Macaca mulatta: one gene and its partner. The protein of the gene in region 1 purifies or fractionates together with the protein of each later gene. This does not show direct contact. Links are inferred from orthologs where the notes say so. Each region holds a gene or a part of one and is shown in the gene's direction. Other genes may lie near its edges.

What was found.
Region 2: the proteins of MAGOHB (region 1) and PYM1 purify together in Homo sapiens (co-immunoprecipitation; 3 studies listed by BioGRID and IntAct, with this or other methods). This does not show direct contact. The link is inferred for Macaca mulatta from reciprocal best matches to the Homo sapiens genes MAGOHB and PYM1.

What each region holds. Positions count from the first base shown.
Region 1 is NC_133416.1:9,994,076-9,997,988, forward strand, and holds the start of MAGOHB (protein mago nashi homolog 2), read left to right. Parts: upstream 1-1,322; 5' UTR 1,323-1,372; coding exon 1,373-1,466; intron 1,467-3,913. UniProt on the Homo sapiens protein: Required for pre-mRNA splicing as component of the spliceosome. Plays a redundant role with MAGOH in the exon junction complex and in the nonsense-mediated decay (NMD) pathway.
Region 2 is NC_133416.1:63,070,767-63,074,679, reverse strand, and holds the start of PYM1 (partner of Y14 and mago), read left to right. Parts: upstream 1-1,299; 5' UTR 1,300-1,306; coding exon 1,307-1,340; intron 1,341-3,913. UniProt on the Homo sapiens protein: Key regulator of the exon junction complex (EJC), a multiprotein complex that associates immediately upstream of the exon-exon junction on mRNAs and serves as a positional landmark for the intron exon structure of genes and directs post-transcriptional processes in the cytoplasm such as mRNA export, nonsense-mediated mRNA decay (NMD) or translation.

The sequences.
Region 1 (3,913 bases):
TATTTCTAGTTTCAAACTGTCACATAGGAAATGTTTGTTAAAACTAACGTTTTATAAAATTTAAAGCTTATTTTACATATCTCATTTGATCTCTCAAGAATTCTGTGAGCTTGGCAATGTAGATTGCTGTATATGCCTTAGGCTGATGAATAAACAGGCTTAGAGAGTCACTTGCCCGAGGTTAGGTAGCTGTAAGTGTTGGGATTGAATCCCAGGTCTTCTCACCACCACTTTCTACAAAAATCACTGAAGGTTGTCAACCAGCAGAGAGGATTACTCTCTGTGTTGATAACAAAAGGGTGATCAATAATATTTAAAAAGCAGACTTTGTGTAAAAGTCTTTCCCTTACCTTAAAAACTATGCCACAATGGAGCATTCTTTCATTCCTCCAATTTAATTATATCTGGCGAGAAACAGTAATGGGCTAAACCATTGTTGTATCTTAAGTCAAATTGCCAAAACTCCACAGGCTACTAAAAGTTAACCCTTACTGAATGAATTAAGAACCATAGAAGTTCTGCTGTTAAAAAACAGCACGGTGACAGTCAGGGTTTTTCAGGCGTAGGGGGTGTGTGTTTTAAGACTTTAAGCCAGTTTTGTCCCACTGAAATCACCGTCAGTGATTTTTAGTAGAAAGTGGTGGTGAGAAGACCTGGGATTCAATCCCAACACTTACAGCTACCTAACCTCGGGCTAGTGACTATCTCTAAGCCTGTTTGTTCTTCAGCCTAAGGCATATACAGCAATCTACATTGCCAAGCTCACAGAATTCTTGAGAGATCAAATGAGATCTCTTAAGTTCTTTGCTGTGATGGATTCCTTTGACTTTGTCTCTATTATTATAGGCTTATAGGTCCGGGGCAACTACCAATCGTTATTCAAAGGGGAAAGCACCCTGTTAGAAATCAAGTAAGAAAAATGGTTTATATTCCCGGTCTGCCATCTCTATTCTAAGCTTTATCTTTATTTAGCTCCCAGTTAAAGGGGGAATAGAGCCACACCCACCTCACAAACGCCCCGAGGACTGGGAGACCAGAAAAGTAAAAGCCACTTGCAAACCTAATTTAGCTCTAAGTCGATAAAAAATACTATCATATGCTCACATTTCTAATATTTGCTAATATAATGTAATCTTTATTTTGAAAATAATGTGCCTCCAATCCTAGTAAAGAGAAAGTCACGGCATGCGACTCTCCCTTCAGCACCAACTGGCCTCTCACGCGAGACTCGGCTTTCATGCTTTAGTCCAGGACTGCACGGCAGGCGGAAGAGAAGCGCCTGTGGTGACGCACTTATTCCGCGCGATGACGTGACTACAAGGCGCCGGGGGACACGTTGGCTGGGTTTTCGGCGGGCTTCTCGGGGACAAAAATGGCTATGGCTAGCGATTTCTACCTGCGCTACTACGTAGGGCACAAGGGCAAGTTTGGGCACGAGTTTCTGGAGTTCGAATTTCGGCCGGACGGTGAGAAGAGGCCCACGGCACGCGGTGCTGGGAAAGGGGAGCGAGACCGAGAGGCCGTGGAGGAGGCGAGGGGAGGCCGGGTGGTGTGGAGGGTACAGGGGGCGGAGGCCACTGCTTCCCTCGAAGGAAATAGGAGCTTAAGAATAGAGGAGGCCTAAGTTGGTTTTATAAATGAAAGAGAACTAATTGCAATAAATTAAAGCTAATCCTGTCGCAAACTGAAAAGTCGAACTTACAGTAATCAGAATTCTGTAACTGCACCAGAAGGGACTCTGTAGATTGTTGACCTGGATTAAAAATGCTAGCACTTTTTTGAAAACACCCCCATCAGCGGGTGGTCCAATGGATGAATAAAATCTTGTGGTGACCAGTACCTTTTCTTCATTCAGGCTGTGTGTGTTCTTTGAAGGGGAGGAGCCCGACGTGTTAACAAATGAGAATAATAATATGTTTTAGGTGTCTACGTATAATTGTTCACCACAGGACGCATGAAGAGTACCAAAAAAGAGGGGAGATGTAAAGTTCCACAGGAGGGAGTCAGGAAAATCTTCCTAGAGGAAGACACTCTTGAGATGAGTCTCGAAATGAGAGACTTGGCCTTTGAGAGAAAAAAACAGACTTCCAGAGCAGTGAGAGCAGAGGACGAGGTGAAACTGCTACCCCAGTAGCGTGCAACAATTTGTTTTCTGACAGCGCTATTAGAGAATGTTACATTGGTCCTGCCTACCTGCAACAAGAAAGTTCATTTGGATATATATGTTTTGGTTTTTTTTAAATGCACGTTTTTTGCTGGGCAACAAGCAAATACAAAATTTGAAGGTACACTAATGAGTAAGACAAATTTAACTCAAAGAGATTTGTCTTGGTGGGGACACAGACATTTAACTATAAAGCAGTAGGTATATTAATAAGCAGGCTTTGGACAATGTTCTGTGAGAGCAAGAATAAAAAATTAGAGGAGAAACGTATATTAGGAAAGGAGAAGAGTATCAAGCATTTCAGGCAGAACTCACGTGAACTACAGTCCTGCAATTATTACTTTGAAACAGAGTCTCACTCTGTCACTCAGATCTGAGTGCAGTGGCACGATCTCAGCTCACTGCAACCTCCGCCTCCCAAGCTCAAGTGATCCTTCACCTCAGCCTCCCGAGGTGCTGGAAATACAGGCCAGTGCCACCTCGCCCATCTCCTTTGTTGTTGTTGTTGTTGTTGTAGAGATGGGTTTCCGCATGTTGCCCAGGCTGTCCTCAAACCCCTAAGGTCAAGAGATTCACCAGCCTCAGCCGCCCGAAGTCCTGGGATTACACGCATGAGCCACCGTGCCAGCCCTGCAATTATTTAGAAACCTTAATCACTGTATTCGACCTTACTCTCCCCATAAATTCAGCTAAATTTACCTGAATTCATCTATTCTTTATGTAGTATTATTTTCAGTTCCTCTGCCTGTGAACACCGTCAAGCTTGTCTCTATTACTTTTAGCAGGTCACATAAATTAAGCACCTGAATATTATCAGGGAAGTTTTATGCTAGAACAGTGGTTCTAATCAATGTATCTGCCACTGCACTGTTACACATACTTCTTCTATTGGTAATATTGAGTCTCCCGAAGACCTGCCTGCCTGCCTGCCTGCCTGCCTTCCTTCCTTCCTTCCTTCCTTCCTTCCTTCCTTCCTTCCTTCCTTCCTTCCTTCCTTCCTTCCTCTTTCTTTCTCTTTCTTTCTTTCTTTCTTTTTCTTTCTTTCCTTCTTTCTTTCTTTCTTTCTTTCTTTCTTTCTTTCTTTCTTTCTTTCTTTCTTTCTCTTTCTTTTTCTTTTTCTTTTCTTTTTTTCTTTCTTTTCTTTCTTTCTTTTTTTTGAGACAGAGTGTTGCTCTGTCACCCAGGCTGCAGTGCAGTGGTGCGATCTCAGCTCACTGCAACCTCTGCCTCCTGGATTGAAGCGGTTCTCCTGCCTCAGCCTCCCGAGAAGCTGGGATTGGAGGCATGTGCCACCATGCCCGGCTACTTTTTCGTATTTTTAGTAGAGATGGGGTTTCTCCATGTTGGCCAGACTGGTCTCGAACTGCTAACCTCAGGTAGTCCACCTGTCTCGGCCTCCCGAAGTGCTGGGATTACAGGCGTGAGCCACTACGCCTGGTGCCAAGCCATCAAAGACTGGCATTTCTATCATTTTAGAGTAACTGCTGCACATTATAGCTGTGTCTGGGCAACTGACTAGCCATAAGGGGAAGCATACATCAGATAATACACAAATCATGATGGATTAAAATTAAATATAAACTAGCTAACAAACTCATCAACTTCGATCCAGAAGCATCGTTTGTATCCTTCTTAGTCATAATTCTAAAATGTCTACAATATAATTGTATGCATACATTTGAAGGAAAAAAAGGAACATTTTTTTGTAGTGGAGAAAGCCTGAGTATTAAAAGAAAGTAGATCTAGGTC
Region 2 (3,913 bases), about 53 Mb from region 1:
AGCCACCGTGCCCGGCTTTAGTTTTGTTTTTTAAATGGGACATGCTGCCTAGTGTAAGAGGTAATCACCAATATTTACCTCCTCCCTCCTTCCTGGTTCCAGGGGTACTGCTGGATATTAAACTAAGTCAAAGTGGGGACATATGGAGGAAGGTAAAAGGATTGATAAGGAAAAAGCTATATAAGGGTGGAGCAGGGCAGAGTTGACACCTGAGGAGAAGAACCTGCAGTCGGGCCCCTCCCAGGCTGTAGGGGAAACAAGTTTAACAGAACTTAGCCCTGAAGGAACAACAGTTGCTGAAATGGGCGGCGGAGGAAAGAGCATTTGGGTTCGTCTGAATAGGGAGGTACGGGGCAGGGGAGGACTACAAATGGAGTGACCCTGCGGGACCGGATTATTGACGAGCTGCCCCGCTTTAGATCCTCAGCGGTTGGACGAGTTTAATTAGAATACTAGGTAGGTCCGCCCAGAAGCCTTTACCCTGCCCTCTGACCCTAGGGCCCAATCCAAGGAGGCACTCAGGGTTAGGAGGTCTGGGAGAGAAGCAAGTAGGGCCCTCATCACTTCGCCGCCGAATCTCCGGCGCCGCCCAGCGGGGCAGAGCCAGGCCAGGGCCGCCCGCCCAACCTGGCCAGCTGCCTCTTCAGCCATGGAAGCTGCCGGCAACCCTGCGGCTACGGAGACAGGTGACCGACCCGTGGCGCTCTCCGCCTTGCACGCCCCTCCCGCGGGTCTCTGGAGGTTGAGTGGGGCGGCCGACAGCAATCGGCACGCGAATTCGACCTCCCCACCTTCTTAGAGAGGGTTACATGGGGTCTTCCAACCGTCCCCAGAAACACTTGTGCGCCCCAGTGCGTTCCTGGAGTTTGTCTGCTCCACGTCACCAAGCTGCTCTCAGGTCTGGGTGCAGGCCAAAGCCTGGATAGTCTTCCTTTCTTCATTTATAAGGCCCCCTTTTTGGGTGCAGGTGGGCCCTACGCCCTTTTCCCTCGCAGGTCGTGGACATACGAGGAGTTCCTGGGATGAGAGGGACTGTGCCTCGGAACTTCTCTTGGCTCCCCGAGGACTGTTTTACAGGCAGCAAGCGCTCAATAATGGTATCGGTGGCAGTAAAAGAGCCCACGGCTTTATTTTATTAACTATTTCAGCTTCTCCCCTCTTCCTCCTCCTCCACCTCCGCCCATGAAATGGTGCACTCTCCCTTTAAGACTAAGATGGTGGCTTGCTACGATCGGGACTCCACTTCCGGTGGGGAGGGGGGCGGGACCCCAGCCCGCTCACGCCGGAAGTGGTTTGCGTTTTCAAGATGGCGACTCCCTATGTTACTGACGAGACCGGCGGTGAGTGCGGGAGGCGCGGAGCCGCTTCTCCCCGGGCTCTCGGGGCAGGGGTTCGGACTTGGAAAGGGGTCTGTGCCCCGCCCATCCCGGGGCCCCTCCTTTGCCCCGCCCCCCGGACCGCCTTCCCCATTCATTCTCTCCTGCGGGGTGTCTCCTGCGCCCCCTTCTGGTCTCGTGTTTGGGGGTCTCTGCTTCCGGTCACCCAAACCCTGGGGTCCTTCAGTGCTGGTCCCTGCTTCAGGACCCTCACGGGCCCTTAGCTTTTCTCCAGCAGTTGGAGCACTCATATCTCTTATAGGTTTTTCAGCCTTGGGGACTCCTACACTCTCAGTTCCCTCCAATTCCTGCCCTCCTACTTTTCCCCTCCCCCATCTCAGCTATACTTGCTTTCTGCCCTACCTCAGTCCCATTTTCATTATTTTTCTCGAAGCGGTATTTGCTGAAGACCTTCTCGTTTCTACATAGTACTTTTTCCTCTCCCTTATCTTCATCTGTTGGGTCACTGAGGTTTAGAGGTGTGAAGGGAAGAGGACCCTAATATAACTTTCAGCTTGAGTTTTCTCCCTGATGGAGCCACCCTTCGCTATCTTATCCTGTGATGGTGATAGAAATTGAGGGGTCTAAGGTGGGAAGAGGCAAACAGGAAAGTGTCTAGTGGCTTTTCTCCGAAGCCCTTTGACAAGTGAATAAAACCCACTCTTCCTTCTGGCTAAAGAATTTCCAGCCTGGCTGGTCGAGATGCTGAAGTGTCTGCTGTGTATGTGAGGTGTATGTGTTGGAAACGGAGAATCACAGCTTTTATCTTGGTTTTGTCCCTTCCTAATGACCTCATCTTTAGAAAAATATGCGTAGTAGTAATAGCTACTCAATGATGATCAAATAATATATGTGAAAGCAATTTACAAAATGCTGTGCAAGTGCAAAGTGTTTCTGTTTTTGTAGCCCTCATATGTGTAGTCTGTAGAAGCAACACTGTGCCTGTGCCTTGGTACACACGGTCTGTTTTAAAATGTGCCATTTTGCTTCTTGCTCTGCTGCTTTCCATGTTCCTTACACCTCTTCCACCTGTCTTATGGTACCTGATGACAACCCAGGTTGCTGCTACTTCTCCCCAACCTCACAATTTAAAAGTGGTACTACCTCTTTCCTTCTGTTCTCTACCCAGTAGCTCCTTCATGAATTACCAATTTTTAATGTGTGCTTTGAAAATACTACTTATCCAGTATATTTCTCTTTACTCTTAATCATTTTCTTTACCCTGACTCCGTGAAAATCCAGGTATGACATCTCACCCTACCTTGCCACTAAAAGCTGTTTTCTGTTTTTAGTGACTATGTGGAAGAGAAGAAGGAATAAACTGCTTTTTTGTTTTCCTTTACTATGTCCAGATCGTTGATCTACCACTGTCACTAATCCTCATGGAAGGTATTGCCATGCAATTATAGCAGTTTCTGTAAAACTTTAGTGTCATCATTTACTGCCCACAAGGACCCAGACCTATTGCATATTTTTTTCTCTCCTCTTTTTCTTGCTGTCATTTTCAGTGTCTCCAGCACCATTGGAATACTCTGATCTCATAGTTCCTCAGCATGAGACGGTCGACTTTGCTTTGTATTTTCAAACCAGTTGCACATCAGAATCACTACAACCTGGATCTCATCTAGGACACCACTTTTTCTTCAGGTGCTCCCCATCACTTTAGCCTCCTTATCAGTCACTTATTTCACTATCTTAAACCCTCAGGATCAGCTTTGTGTCCTCAGGTTCTCTGGTTCTTGACCTTTCCATTTCATTGAATCTGTCAGTACCTTATGGCCTTTGGTGCTGCCCAGCTAGACCTCTGTGACCAGCCCCTTTGATAATATCCTCTTGCTTTCTTTATTCATTTTGATTTTCTATACTAAGCAGGCACTTCTGTTATCTCTAATGATGGCTATGATTAGAGATGTTTTCTTGGCTTCTGCTTCTAGGCCACAGCATGTTGCTAGAGAAAAAGTACAGAAGCTATCAGATTCAATATAAGTTAATATAACTTCTGCCAAGATCATGGCTTCTAATCATTCTTTTCTTTTTAAAACAATTTTTTGCTAGGCGCGGTGGCTCACGCCTATAATCCCAGCACTTTGGGAGGCTGAGGTGGGTGGATCAACTGAGGTCAGGAGTTCAAAACCGGCCTGACCAGTATGGTGAAACCCCATCTCTACTATAACTACTAAAATTAGCTGGGTGTGGTGGCGTGGTGGTGTGGGCCTGTCATCTTAGTTACTCGGGAGGTTGAGACAGGACAATCGCTTGAACCCAGGAGGCAGAGATTACAGTGAGCTGAGATCGCGCCACTGCACTCCACTCTGGGCGATAGAGGGAGACTTTGTCTCAAAAATAAATCAATAAATAAAAATTTAAATTTATTTTTTATGTTCTTCCATAGCTGTTTTCCCCAAACTTTTCCAGCTCTGTGTGACCATCCCTTTTAATTCTCCTCCTTTTGGCAGATGACTTCATTTTTATTTTACTGAAAAATCAAGGCCTATCATTTTTGTTTCCTTTTTCTTCATAGCAAGATTTTGTTTGTT